Linked DNA regions of Drosophila melanogaster. The protein of the gene in region 1 interacts with the protein of each later gene in a pairwise test. Each region holds a gene or a part of one and is shown on either strand. Other genes may lie near its edges.

Region 1 (5,124 bases):
GGAATTGACCTTATTTACACAATAAATTGTTGCTTTTTTCTCTCTCTGCAGATGAGCGACTGGGAAACGGGGTTGGCATGGGCCAGCATGATTGACCGACTGCGTGGTGCACCTCGCCGTTGCTCCCGGGGATTGCCGGGTCTGACTTTTATGGCCGTCGGTGTATTTCTTTTTATTGCCTGCCCAAAATCCGTTTCTAGTTTTCCACCGCCACCATTCGTTCCTCTTGATTTGTTTGCATTCAGCTTTTCAGTTTTCGGTTTTCAGTTTTTAGCGTTTGCAGCGTTTTTTCTGGGTTGCGTTGGCGTCTCCGGCGGCAGCACGCACTGGGAAAATATTTGTGGAAAGCATGCGAAATGCACGCGCCTGTTGTGGATCTTTTATATTTTTTAATGCAGCGCTGAAAGCTATTTGTATCTGTCGGTCAGATTGGGTTAAGACTAAGACGCCGCCCCTGCGTGTCTTTCGTCAAAGTGTCGAGCCACTTTGCCAGGGGGCTAGCTATTAGCCCATTGATGCCGATGCCTTTGGCTTTGGCTTTTCCACTCCACGCCCTTTCTTCTCTATTAATTTAGAGCATCTTTGTCTGATTTATGGCGCAAGCATTCTATTTCACTCGCATGCTTTTTGGCATTTTGCGCATATTTAGTTTAAATGTCTTAAGTAAAACCGAAACGAATGCCAGTTTTATTTCGTATTTAGACGTCATCTTTTTAGCCGCACGTTTCCGGTGACTGCCGGCAACAGCAGTGGCAACTGCAAAAGTGGCACAAAGATTTTTATTTTTAAAACCAGAACAAATATGCGATATGTGTCGTTGTCTTCTGCATGATATCTGTGATAGTTTCCCCGGCCATTCTTTGATACACAAATTAACCGAATAATGAATGCACGGAGCAGAGGGTAAGTAAATAAGTAAGGGTGTTTCATGATTTAAGAAAATACAGATATAAACGAATCTTATTTGGTGGGAGAAATTAAAAGGCTCCATTGCAAAAGATCTTAAATAAAACTCATAGGAAAGTTCATTTCTTAAGTTGAGAGTAATTTTTCATTCGCGTTTTTCATTCTAAAGATAATAATCCAAGGGAATTATTCTTCAGGTTGTAGACCCTCGGGATCTTTGGCCTGCCTTTCGCTGTCTTTCATTCATGAGAACATGACAGACCACATCTGTATCTGTAGGTGACAATTATTGTTTGCATCATACATACTTTTTGTGTCACTTGCTGGATACCCCATGCTCCCCGCCCTCGATTAGTATCCCACTCATCGATTAGTCAGCGATGCCAAAAATAATTAAATAAAATTATTCGACTTATAATAGACCGAAATAGCTACGACGGAATGAAGCAGCCTAAATAGATGTCGAATATTTTAGAGTTGCATTTTGTTAGCATTACAAGAATTTTTACGCATTTCCTTACATTGCGATAATTGAAATCGAGAAGCTGGCACATATAGCCGGTTGGCCGATTTATGTCAGATATATATGGGGACCAGATACACACGGGAATAAGAAACGATGAATCAATGAAGACACGAAGCCTTAAATGCTCTTTGTTATGACTATGGTTTTCTTTGTGGCCAAAAGTTGCACAATGTATTTCGAACTCTTGTAAAACTTAATTTCAAATGCTCTAAGTAGTTAATTTTAGAAATACATATTATTTCGTTAATTTACTTTTAGTTCTATTGTAATAATTAGGTTGTTTTGTTATATTTTATATTTTACTTGTCCGTTTAGCACGACCCAGAAAAATGCTTGTCCGTTCAAGAGAGAATCGGAATGAATTGTCCGTACAAAGGATCTGTCGAAATCCTTAAAGTTATGCTGGAACTAATAATGATACCCTCATTCAGGGTATGTTTAAAACATTTATTTGTTTCTCGATTGCAATTTACGAATGCGATCGCCGACTGAGGAGAGCCGGCAGAATCTCCGAGAGCTTCATCTCCGATCGAATCTCTCGCTTGCCGAAAATACACGCATACTCAAAGCGAGAGCGCCGGAGATTTTCCTCCACTCAGCTTTTCACGCAATTCGGTGCGAGGGAAAATCTCGGCACAAAAATATTTTCACTGCGGCCAGACAGTTTTCCTTTGACAACGCGCCGAGTCGCACATGATTTTCCTCTCGGCCGGATTCGCTGTGGTCCAACAAAAAGAACCGAGAACTAAAAACAAAAATCGCGACACAATCTTTCAGCGAGTGTGTGAATGTTGCTAAATTTATAAATAACAGCTTAAGTTGTGCTGCTCCCAAAGTAAATTGAAATAAAAGCAAAAGTGATACGCGTCCGTCGTCGTGAAACGGAAAACGCAGGCGATGGAAAATGGGAAAATAGGAAAAAATAAGAAAAATAAGAAAAATATCAACGCATAAATAAAGCGCGAGCCTCGCGTCCGATTCTGTCGCATTCGCCGGCTGCATTCCCAAATAGATCGGGGCGCTATAGTCTATATCTGCTCGTATGCCCTATAGGCATCGACAGTATATATCCCAAACCTGCCCGGTGCGTGCCGGTGGATTATGTAAAGTGACACACGGCCGATCCCGATACCGATCTCGGAGTATCGCCCAGCGCAAATAAAAGCAAAGGAAATAATAGTTTACTTAGCAGAAAAGAAATAAATACAATAAAATAAAATTGAATAAAATAGGGGAATGCAGAGAGAGTGTCGTAGAAATTTGTCGCACGCGCGCGATTTCAGTAAGTGCATCTAATTTATTTTGCATCTATTGCAATTGAGAGTCGGCATCCGGCAGATACGTTTTCGTAATTGTCGTCAGCGGTTCGAGTTCCTCCGTTTCGATCTCGCGCGAGTGTTTGCCAGATTGGATTACCAAACCCAGGCCATACCAAAATAAATTATACACCAATTTTGAAAGGGCGATAAACATACATTGTGACCGAATTTTGATCCGATCTGCGATCGAGGATCGCTTGCCAAGAGCAACGTAATGTCGTCCTACCGCAGTTATGTAAGTACTAGTTAATGCAGCGCCAACTATCCGTATCTGTATCTGCATAATACCTACTCGTACTATATAGTGTGTATCTCGATCTTTGTATCTTCGCTCTGTGCCTTTTTGCAATTCTTCGCATCCACGGATTTTGTTTATTTCTAATTTGTTGCCTTACCCCACACACAAGAGTATTTCGCAGATACATACGTATACGTTTTATATGGCAGATAAAATGTATCTGAATGTTCGCTCTCGATGTGGTGTGGGCTCCAGATCCATTGATAAACAATTTAGATACAAATTTGCTCATTGTCTGGTTTTTTGGTTGGGATTTGTGTCTAGTTGATTGTTCTAATTTCCTATCCACACAAATAGCACAAATTATGGCCGAGGTGTGGCTACTGAATGAACGAATTGTTGTGTTTGAATAGCAAACCAATGCATGAATAAATGGCTTTTACTTTGGCAAAGCAGGTTAAGTTCCGAATTTTAAACCTATTTAACTTGATTTATGTTAGTATTTGCGTATATGCACAGTTGTCAAAGGAATTAATTTTGAGTTATTTGACATACTTTATGGCAGATTCATTATTGATACTGACCAATGACTGACAGTTCCCAAGTAAACATTTTGTGTTATTTATTGAACTTATCATCATATTTATTTATATTATTAACCCGTTCGACATCATGTGATACTTGTGAACTTTTATATAAAAAGTGCATTATTTCTATATCTATCCTATAATATAAATACACTTAATTTCGGTTGTCATTCCCAAACTTCCAAATCGCTTTCTACTAATCCCCTTTATGTTCAACTCATTATATCCTTTTGTTCCCAGGCATCCAGTTTATGACTTTAGCCTGACTTTTGACTCATTGAGCATAAATCAATTAAATATTTTTCGGGTCTTAGAATCTAATAAACTGATCAATTTATGGGCGGCAAACAACAAGTTTCCACCCCATCCCACGCACATCTACCACTTCATCTTCTCCCGAGTCATTTCTCCAATTATATATAGAATGTTTCTAAAAATGTTGGGAGTAAAGCAAAATGATTTCTGTTTCGTTCACGTTGACGCAGTCTCTTTTTTCCTCATTGGAGTTGGTACTTTGTGTAGGATTTTTATGGCCAGAAGGAAGTTGTAAATATTTATGACAAGCATAAAGTTGAAAGTTCTCCGGTGAGAGCACGCACCACCTAATTAATTAACAAAGTGTGAATACTCATGCAATTTGTTTGTGAGGGGAGAAAGTAGGGGAACGGTAATGGAGAAACAATAAAGTTGCAAATATAACTAAAGCTTTTAACTTCATATTCAAAAAAAATAAGTATATATTATCATATAACTAAATTTATATTCATAATGTATTAGCGAAAGCGGTAATGATTAAACATTGTTTCGATTATTGATTTCATTAGAAATATCTCTACTCGTCACACACAATGCGATCACAATCAGTTTTCATTTGAATTATTCATCAAAACAGATCAAAATTTGTTGTAGTGTAGCACAAAGGAAGGCGGTGATAGGCGCTTCTCAAATAGGCTTCGAGATAAGGATTTATGAATCAAGCTATCTGAGTCCGAGATTATCCACGCACACTCACCCGTCCACCCAACTGCCACCCAAGCCCCCCACAACACTCGAACACAGACACAAGTCAAGGACATTTTTTGATAAAAAGATAAAAAATGACACGGCGTCGACGTCCACGATGTAAGGTGAATCCCTCGATAGCGCTGAGAAAGAAGAAACAGGAGACTGCACCCAGTGCAGAAAAGGTAGAGCCACAACGTCCACCGCCCTTGCCGGATCCGCCCAGCGAAGAGCCACCGGAAGTCGTCAGCACTTCGAGCGTAGAATCTGAAATCGAATCGGATTACAAACTCTTCCCGGAACTCTACGATCGCCAGCCGTCGATGCCCACGTTTGCTGATCTTTTTGGTCAGCCCTCTTATGAATCAGTGTTGCAGGAGCCCGAGGTGGCATCTACCTCCTCCTCAACGAACACAAATGCCGCGGGAATACGTAGTACAGACGATGGGAAATTCACTAATATTCCGGCCACGATGCTGTCAGATCAATTTGGGATCATTGGGCTGCTGGCCGCCATGAGGACTACGCAAACGGATCCGGGCGCCA
Region 2 (3,472 bases), 640 kb from region 1:
TCTTCATCTAAATTTAACTGGTAACGCTTCGGATAAAAGATTTCAGATGTTACTTCGAAAGAAATCAGATTGTGAAAAGGTGCTTCTAGTTACTCGCCAATCGCCCACTAAGTGCCTGTTAACCCGTTTCTCGCCACTCGCTGCATTTGTGCCATCTAAAAAGAATCTCATCCAATCACGCATTCATCCACCCCCTGGGGACCCTTACAACCTTTCTACCTCCACTCGCTGACTCTACTTCTCTTTCTCTGGTGTTGGTACTCGTTCGCTATTTTTACTCGCCACTCGTTGACTCGTTTCGCTAAGCATCCACTAAAACTCGCCTGCGTTGCCCAAAAAATATATACGAACGCCCCTCCCCCGCCAATTTCTATATCTTCAAACTCTATTTGCCTTGTGATTAGTTGTTGATTTTGATAATTATTTTTTTATTGAAAAATAAGTAAGCGAATTTAAATTGCGAAAACTAATTTATGAAAAGAAAAATACAATTAACGACTGCATAAATACGAAACCTAATTTATAGAACACAAAACAGAAACCATCTAATTCTAAACACTACAAGAAACAAAAATATATTGGAGAGCGAAAACACTCTATATTTAAAATGCTATTTATAAATAATATGTTTAAAAATTTGTACATTTTTCGCGAATGCAACATGTTCTTGTAACCGTCCGCAAAACGTAAACTAAAAATTGCAAAATTTAAAATTAACCCGTGTGGCTTAAAACGAAAATATTTACATAAGTGATATTTAAACTACGTATAATCGAAATTTACTTAATGCAAAATTTTTACAACAAAACATGCTGTACAAACCTAATTTTTAGCGCAGGAGTTTTTAAGGCATATTTTTATTGATTTTTGCAATATATATTTAATATTTAAATAGTGCCTAAAGTTAAATACGAAAGCCGAAAAAATCGAAATACATACAAAAAAAAAAGGAAATAAAATGTGACTTAATTCAAACTAAATGTGTATTATTGGCCCTATTTAGCCCTGTTCCCCTGCTTAATCAGTCCATACTATATCATCAATCGCATGTACCGATATTATACGTTTTGTTCAATGTTTGTATTGCGTTCTGCATTTGAATTTGTGTTTGTGCCTTTAATGGAATTCGAAATGTTTTATTTGTATATATCTTATCACTTTTATTTCTTCCCTCTTTCTTTCTCTATATCCGGACTTTTTTGTAGACCATAAAAGCGAAATTGGCTACCGCAATCCGTTGTAACTGTTGTTATCGTTGTGCCTGTTGTACTGCCCCCGCCCACAAAAGCACCCACCCACCAAATCGAATCGATTTCGATTTCGAAAAACCCATCATCGCACACCGTGAGATTAATACGATGCCTACACTCAGCATCCGCCGTCTCGACAACCAACATTCATTGTTATTTATTACCAAGCAAGCAACAAAAAAAAGAAAGAAAGCAATCAAAGCAAATAGCGATACCAATAAACGTGTATATAATTGCATAAATCGAAAGAGTCCTGTCAAACATTTTTTAATTTGTATCTTACCCATACCTCCTCCCACTCGAAACAGCAACGAAATGGAGGACGAGGAACTTTCGGGCATCATTCTGTCCAAGGCCACCTCCCCCAATGCCGGGCGCATGATATTTTGGTAAATGATGGACCATCCCCCACCTGACACACATTCAGTCACACAAACGTATCGAATTTTTGTAAATATTTAATAAAACAAAAAACAAATAAAACGAACGATCTGAAACTCGAAATCATGTTGTTATCTAAACATCTTGAACTTACAAATACAAAAAACTACAATTTGCAAAAGTTCTAAAAAGTTTTTGAACATTATTTAAAGACAGGTTTGTATATAATTTATGAAATTAGCCTAAAATATAGCTTTTAAGACATTCCTTTAAGCAACATAAGCTAATAGCTGCAATCTATAATAGTGATGCTGCGCATATGACTTTCAAAACCGACCAGTGTGTCCACACCAGAAAAGTTGAATTCATACGAAATCAAGCAATATGTGAACTCAATTCAGCCCTGAAATGGAAAGTTTCACATTCCTTTTTCTGTCATTTGCACTACGGCATTGTCAGGGAACGTGTTCATTTGGTACCACATTTTTTCATATATTGGTCATAATCGGTTCCAGTTCATATCGCTTCCGATTTTTTGAAAAATAAAAAGGTACAAATATTCCAATATGTCCGACAATACCGAGAGCAAACTTGCGCTAGACCCGTGCGATGTGATCGTCTTTGAGGGACCATTCAACCGCTCGGTGAGCAGGAAGCTAGTCATCAAGAACACCAGTAAGACCCAGCGAATGGCCTTCAAGATGAAGACCACCACTCCAAAACTTTTTTATGTACGCCCCAACATCGGTGTCTTGGGGCCCGAGCAGAAGGTCAGCGTTGACATATTCATGCAGCCAATTCTGCAGGAGCAGATAAAGAAGCGTCATAAGTTCCTTCTCCTGGCCGCCGAGGTGACTGGTGACATAAGCGATGTGCAGGAGTTTTGGAAGATGCAGAACCCGAATGAAACTCGGGAAACCAAGATCAAATGTGAGCTAGTCCCTTCGAAGGAGGACGATTTCCGTCAGGCGGGAGGTTCAGCTGTAATATCCACGGACAACAAGGACGGAGAGGTCCATTTTGATGCCCAGGAAGTCAGTGAGCCAATGGCCAAGTTGCTCAAGCAAGTCAGCATGCTGGAGGACGAGCATATGGCCCTCACAGACCAGATCGACGGCTTGCGTGACCAGGCGATTGGGCGCACTTTCTTCTACATGGCCGCCATAGTAATCATTATACTGTCCGCTGTCGCAGGCGCCTATTATGGCAAGACTCGTTTGTAAATTCCTTATCATGGCAGTTTTTAGAACATAAGGCAGTAAATTGCACCGAAATTGTACGAAAATTATTTGTCAATAAAGGACATTTTGGTTGCATATTCTATTTTGAGATAGATAATTAGTTTATGCTTGTATACCAATAAATGCGTAAGATGTTATATTCTCACTTTACTAGAAGTAAATAAGTTTAAAATAGGAAATGTCGAATAAAAATAAATTTTTTCAAAACAATTTAAAATGCTTTTTCCTATTTCACTTTATGAAGAGACAAAAAGTAAACTTATTAAAATTTCTGTGAATAACACGTCAAGTTTGATCCAACTTCTACAGGCAAGGCGTATAGGTGTATAGCACTTGCTAAAATTTAGAACTTCTTTTTCAATTCCCGCCAAGACGGGACCACCTGTCTAGGCCAGTGCTGTGAAGCGCGCGTGGCCACAGAGCTCGGCAACCCTGCAGCCGTGCGAAAGCGAATGTGGTGAAGAAAAAAAAAACAGCGAAATACACACGTATTTTGCGACGAAATTAAATAGAATTCCTGCTAAGGGGTATAAGGACACTTGAAGGATGTCTGCGCGAATGCTGAAGAAGCTGCAGGGCGACGCTGACAAGCTGGCGCCA
Region 3 (6,769 bases), 8.2 Mb from region 1:
TGAGCGGAGACCCACATCACTCTTCAGATCCCCAGTGGTTCGGGTCTTCACTGCAGGCAGAGCCTGTAGCTTTTCTGGTTTCTCCAACTCGCTGGAGCTGTCATCAGCTAAGCTTTCGGGTCGGCCAGTTGTGGTAGTGGTCGTTGTGGTTGTTGCACTGGCTATGGTGGCTTGATCGGCACTGGCGATGGTGGGTTGCACCACATAGGCCAGGGGCAGATTGTAGGCGGCGTAGTATGGGGCACTGAACAGCACGGGTTGATAGGCTCCATAGGGCGTGAGGTCCTGGGCCGGAGCAGATCCTGCAATGAGTTTTCCGGACTTCTCTGCGACGGGTGCTCCTGGTGGCCAGGCCTCGATATTGGTTGTGCGCCAGTAGGCACTTGAGTTAGGATAGTTTTTGGTTTAGGAAGAGTGGGATAGAGGAAAATGGTGAAGAGAACCGCCGGTTAGTCGTATATTATTTACAGCAATAATTCGAGGGGTTAAACTGTGTCGGGTTAATATCATGCGGAATAAGTGTGATATCTAAAACTACTATGTACAAGATGAAAGCAAAAGCCCAAACAATTACGAAATACAAATATTTATTAGAACACTAGACAATACCAACTATGGATCCTAACTAAATGTGCTAAATAATAGCTATTAGGTTTAAGCCTCGAACTGGATTAGGACTCGAACTGGCCCGTCTCCAGCCCCGCCCCCTGATCCGCCTCCATGGTTGTTGTGCCCGTGGGTGGAGCATAGTAGACCGTTGGTCCTGTAGCCACTATCTTTCCCTCTCGCGGAAAACTTCTCGTCTCCAGATCGGTGCGTGCCAGGGCATCTTTAAGGTCCACATCTGCCGGTATGGAGATCACCTTGGCCCCGGGACCGGCGATGGTGAGACTCCGTGGATGGGTGAGAGCATAGCCACCGGGACCAACAATCGCCGTTCCTCCGCTGCCCGCCGTGGCCACGCCCCCGGGTCCTGCGATAGCGATGCCGCCCCTGCGAACCTTTAGCCGCTGAATGATGATTCCTCCTTCGCGCAATGCCTGCTTTTGGGTGCTTTCCTGAGCGGTGGCCACCTGGCTCACAGTGTGCATCAGGTGATGGCCCTTGTGAGCAAACAAGTGCTTCTCTGAGGAGGCACTGTTGTCCAGTTCCGCGGCTGTGTTCTCAATGGTATCCACATCATCGGCCATCCCATCGCCGGCGCCCTCGTTTTCATCCTCCCATTTATAATCCATCGAATCGATTGAGTGATTCTTCACAGGAACATTGCCAACAACCACAGGACCTTCTCCAGCTGTGGCCGCCATTGGAGGTCGGAAGGGGAGCTTGAAAATGTTTTGAAAGGCATTCTTGATGGCAGTCGAGGTCTGATTCTGCATCTCAGCTATATTCATTCCGGGCATGCGGAATGGACTTAAGCGATTCCGATTGGGCAGCAAGCCACCAGATGGTGGTAAAGTAGAACTCAACAGGACAGGCGCAGATGTAGCCTTGATATTAAGGGATGTGGATCCCTGGTAGATTTGCTGTTCAGCATCCTTTCCACTCAAGCGAACGGGTTTCGCTGTGGAACCAACCTTCTTTCTGTTCAAAGAATTTAATTCCGGTGACGAAGTGGGCTGAATCTTCTGTGGCTTATGCACGGGCTTCTCGCGGGAGTCCAAACGATATTCCTTGAAGTTCACAGGCACTGGAGCCTTTGTGGTGGTCGTACCAATGGTGGTGGAATTACCCCTTTTTGGGGTGCCATCTTCATTGAGAGCCAGTTCTCGGGGCAGGAAGAACAGGTGATACTTGGGCGTCGTCTTGCCCTGTTTTCTTCCAGCCTTCGCCTTGCCATAGAAGCTGTCCACATCGCCAATGATTTTGTATCCCTTTATCTTGTATTCCTGCGAGGCGTGCTCCTTGAGATACTCCTCCTTATTGAGTTTGTACAGGTGCACGGGCACCACAAAGTGGGCGGGCAGCTGCTGTGCTTCTTGTTCGGAACTCGGCTTCGGTACCTCCACCTGTTTGGGTCGGAAGTAGAGTTGCGCTTTCTTCTCCTCCTTGGAGGTGCTCTCAATTGCCTGGCGCAACCTGGGAGGCACATTGTAACTGCCCGCCACATTTCTTGTGAGTTTCACCGCCCTAATTGAGGGTTCTAACAAGGTCTGACCATTACTTCCCGAGAAGTGGTGCTGATGGGCGTGAAATGGCTGATGGGCGGGCTTGGGGAACAGGTATTGACTGGAATCAAGGATCGGTGGCAGCTTGGGCTGCTCCGGCTGCTTCTTCACGTAGCCAAAGGCCTCGTTAACCTTGGCTATCTGCTCGAGGATGCGCTTGGCCTCGTCCGCCTTTTCCGAGGACGGAGTGGCCGCATTGGGCTCAAAGTCCTCGGGAAATTTGACCAGCCGCTGCTTCTGAATTCTGCAAACGAAAGGTGGGGTTTGTTTGGTGGTCTCTATCTGTTGGTGGAGTTAGCTTCTAGTTGCTAATGCAGGGTAATGTGTTGTTGGGTGGAGGGAAATGAGTTTTGAGGGTTAGTCACAAGTCTGGGCTTTTTTCGGTTTAGTCACATAGTTCTAGGCAAGCGCATCAACTTCTACTTGGAATGAGCATTAGCGTTGACACAGTCACATTTGGCAGGCAAGGCATTTCATGGTTATTTGGGGTCTTAGGGCTGGGTAACTAGCTACTAGTCTACTTACTCGACGGCCAGTCCACCGTGCTGTTGAGCCTGGCCAAGTGCCAAAGAGGCCAGAAGCAGTGTTGAGAGCTGAAAGACAAATGTGTGACAATAGATGAATGAGATCTATGATTTATGCCGGTTAGATAGGGTGTCTGTATTCTGATGTCGTAATGGATACAAAATTCACACGTGTGGAATGCGGTCAAGTCCCGAAAGTCGCGAAAGTCTCTCTCTCCCTGCTCCTCCAGCACATTTGCATAATTTCTTTCGCTGCTGAAAGCTACGCCGAAAAGTGAGAGCCAGGTGGCAAGGAACGGCTTATGTACTTGACGGATTTTCCCTCGAATACGATTGTCAAGAACCTCACGATCGGCAAATATTTGACTCACTCTCGCCGGCTCTCCACATCTTTGGCAAAGTCAATATTGACGCAACCGTTAGCCGGTGGAAACGACCAGCCCGCACGCCTATCTATCAGCGCCGAAATGTCACAAAGCCGAGAGGAACTGAGACCAAAAGCCAAAACCAAAGCTGGATTCGAAGTCGAGGCTCGTGTTGTGTCATTGACCTGAACCTCTAGGCGGCTGTTACGATTTCGGTGCCGAAACGTAACTCGAGAGAAGAGATTCTGGCGCAGAGGCTGTCGAACCTGGTTGCCATTGATTTGCAAGAACTCTTGCATCCCCAAGCAGTAAGATGTATTTCTGTCTGCTTTCTTTTGTGTATTTCGCCTTATTTATTATATTGCCCTCACATAACGATGCCGATTCGACCCCATATCAGGTGTGTCTTGTCCAAAAATAAACTGGGTTAATGGCTCGAATGCAAAGTTTAAGCGCAGCATTTTATGTTCTCAAACAAGTTATAAATGAGTCTGTCTCCTGATCTTCACATCCGATCAGGTGTCTTTTGGTCTTAAATGATATTCCAGAGCCATTCCAATGCAGCTAATTGAGCAGGGATTGATGGACTTGGGACGTGTGGCTAACTGTCTACACTCATAAATTGATTAATTTATGAACCACTATCGAAACGATCACAAACTCGAAAACAAACCAGTGCACTTATAGTTAAGAACCCCACACAAATGTGACCGATTGTTTGATAGTTGGGAGGGGGAAAAGAAGACTTATATTACCATTTGTTAGCCCACGCATGATTTTTATACGTTTGCGGCATATTAATTTTATGTTCTTTGAGTCATAATTATTTTTTGGGCTTTTCAACCCAAGTGGTTGTATTGGTTGTGGTTATAATTGAATGGCATTGTTGCTTATGGGAGTCGCTGTAGAGTTTTGACTTTTAAGGGCATGCTTTTCATAATGGGAATATGAATAATGCAAGGAACAATACTTCCTAGGTATGAATGATTAATTCTCACTTTTTAAATTGGGGTGGGGCTAGAATATTGTCACGTTCAAATGGAATGGACAAAAGGGTTTCACTTTTCAGAAAGAATTAACTCTTTTGAAAAACCTTTACTAAGTGAACAATAACTGGCACAAAGAAGTCTTAACCTTTTGCATTCATATAAAAAAAAGTTTCCCCAATATAGTTCTTTGCGTCCAAATTGATTTGTGATTATTATAAACCCCAAAAAGATTTTAGGCACTCTTATTAATATTTGCATATGGCACAGAGCATAATTAAGGCTAATTAAGGCGATCAAAAAAAGGAAAGAACCAAGCCAAGAATCAAAAAAGTCGCTTAGTGAAAGTTAGTGTCGATTCAGAAGTGAAAGAAACAAAAGACTTAAGGCACGAACTTGGGCCAGTTGACGAGTTAATGAGTTCAGCGGCAGCACAGAGCAATAAATGATTAATTGCGGTCAGGTATAAACTAGTTTCGTTTTGTATTCCCAAAATGTGAAGTTAAGTCATTCATGGTATTTAATTTTCTTTTTTATGCGATTTGACTTACAACAAGAAAGCGCATTTTAACGCGAGGTTCTGGTGAATAGTTTCAGATTTTTCAATAAATGCTTGGTGTTCGTGGCGTTGACCAATCCTCGCCTTGACAATATATCCTTGAACTGCAAACGAGAACGGGAATGAGTGGCACTCTGGGTTATCACGCGGCAAAATCACACACACTAAAAGCACTATAAAACCAATCCTGCTGAGCTTTCAATTTACGATTGTTTCAGGTTCCGTTGTTTTTCTTTCTTTTTTTTTGTCACGCACAATAAATAGGGTCTGGAAATGGAACTCCTACCAAGAACCAAGAGCCAGCGAGCCAGGCGACGTCTGAAGATGAACTGAGTGCTGGCCGGGCCCAGCGCGTCTGTTTATAACATTTCCATTAGCGATGCAAACGACGAAGCGAAAGAAATGGCCAAGAAAACAGGGCCCGATCAGGTGTAAGAGAACTGGGTTTTGGGCAGAAGAGAGAGTCGAAGAGAAGACCGCGATTCGGGCACGTAGTCGAGCGCCTTGGCCTGGCTTTTATCTGGGGGCGTGGATCTGTGGGATTTGGTTACCAGCTCCAGGGTACACAACACCAATTGATATGCAGGCTTACAACTCTAGGATTTCGCAGATCGAAATCTTCCCCGATCCCTTGGGTTAGGCAAATAGTTTGCCTAACATATTGTCAGATATTTCTCAAGCATTTGATTAAATGTGCTGACAGTCGCTTCTTCAGTCTACTGTTTCGCAAACTCGCACCTAGCAAGAACACAGAATCACAGCGCTGACTTTGATTAATTGGCCGTTTATTGGCTTGATTGAGTGTGACTGGACAGGAGCGAAGTGACTGGCCATTACAAGTGGAGTGAGCCACGAGAATAGAAGCGAAATGCGTGTGGGAAGTGGAAAGGTAATCAGCTCGGAACGGGCCCAGAACATGACATAAGCCAAAATGGTAAGAGACTTACCGTGATGAAAGAATCGATTCGTTGCCGGGCAATTCAATTAAAATGTTTGCCTGGAACTCGTTAGAAAGTTTCGCACATAGTGACTCAAGAGTCATGTTCTTTTTTTTTTTTTTTGATTTGACAAGCACTTCGGCGTGAAGACTTCACACACTTCTCGGGTATCAACAGATGTCAGGATTAAGACTTAGCTTCGGACCGTTTTTGATCGATAATCATGAATAACAAATGTCTGAAATCAGAGAAATTGATTTCAGGTTCGTGCCTTAAGTCATTTGTTTTCATTGCAGACCAGTCTTTATTAGCCCAGAACCATTAATTTTGTGATTAACTTTGCTGTGATACAACTGCAATTTATTCTTTTATTGGCTTTTATGCCCCGAGCAGCCAGCTACTGACTGCGCTGTGAAATAATGCATATTCCTTGATTAAGCAGCATCGAACGGGGGGTCGACCTTTGTGGCACACGCAGGCATCAATAAAATTGCCACAAGATTTATGGTTTCGAGTGCGCAGAGCCGAAGGGAGCATACGAAATTAGCAGCAACACGTTGTAAGCCCCGAATGCGCCACACGCACCACTTGATCCACAATTGGAATGCAGCAATCAAAAGGCGATAAATCGAACCCCAACTGAAATCCAAGCAGCCGAAGAGCGAGTCGAGAAGTTGAAGACCGAAGACCGAAGACCGAAGACCCAAGACCCAGAGACCTTGGGGCCTATTTATAAATGCAGGCGAAACGGGACTGCTAGTGGGATGTCGTTGCCTAGGCCCGGGCCAATTAAGTCTGACCTTCGGCGAGGAGGAGAATCCCAGCCCAAACCGTTGTTTATGAGGGGGAAAATAAACAGAAACAGCTAACTGGCACCTGGGAGAGCCGGAGCCCCAGTAATTTGTGGTTTCAATGCAGGCCGTTCTGCTGCTACGCTAACCCAATTATGCACCTCGGCTACTTCCCAGGTGAGCCATTGATTTCTACGCTGAGAACGTGGCCATTTCAGCCATACAAACCCTAGACCCGGCCGAATAGAATCTATGTCAAGCTATGGCAAGCTTTTTAGTGCTCTTCTGTACGTTCTTTTAGTGCATTCGGCGAAGAAAGTTTTCGAGTGCGTAGGAACTTGTTTCAGGGAAATCACTCGCTTAGATCTCTTGACATTAAAACTTAATTGTGGCAGTGAAACTTTCGGTCAAAACTGGCCCATGTAATAACTTTTTGTT

Evidence for each region.
Region 2: the proteins of Fhos (region 1) and fan interact in a two-hybrid assay, tested with the Drosophila melanogaster proteins (one large-scale study listed by BioGRID).
Region 3: the proteins of Fhos (region 1) and CG11905 interact in a two-hybrid assay, tested with the Drosophila melanogaster proteins (one large-scale study listed by BioGRID).

Annotation. Positions count from the first base shown.
Region 1 is NT_037436.4:8,751,510-8,756,633, forward strand, and holds the start of Fhos (formin homology 2 domain containing), read left to right. Parts: upstream 1-2,109; 5' UTR 2,110-2,965; coding exon 2,966-2,986; intron 2,987-4,479; exon of another isoform or gene 4,480-4,673; coding exon of another isoform or gene 4,674-5,124. Other genes in the region: CG6576 (uncharacterized protein), read left to right, coding at 4,674-5,124.
Region 2 is NT_037436.4:8,107,081-8,110,552, forward strand, and holds fan (farinelli), read left to right. Parts: upstream 1-2,051; 5' UTR 2,052-2,197; coding exon 2,198-2,854; 3' UTR 2,855-2,963; downstream 2,964-3,472. Other genes in the region: Sarm (sterile alpha and armadillo motif), read left to right, coding at 1,559-1,643; Nulp1 (nuclear localized protein 1), read left to right, coding at 3,419-3,472.
Region 3 is NT_037436.4:16,930,600-16,937,368, forward strand, and holds CG11905 (uncharacterized protein), read right to left. Parts: upstream 4,938-6,769; 5' UTR 4,889-4,937; exon of another isoform or gene 4,707-4,888; 5' UTR 4,610-4,706; coding exon 4,595-4,609; intron 2,762-4,594; coding exon 2,694-2,761; intron 2,413-2,693; coding exon 672-2,412; 3' UTR 573-671; downstream 1-572.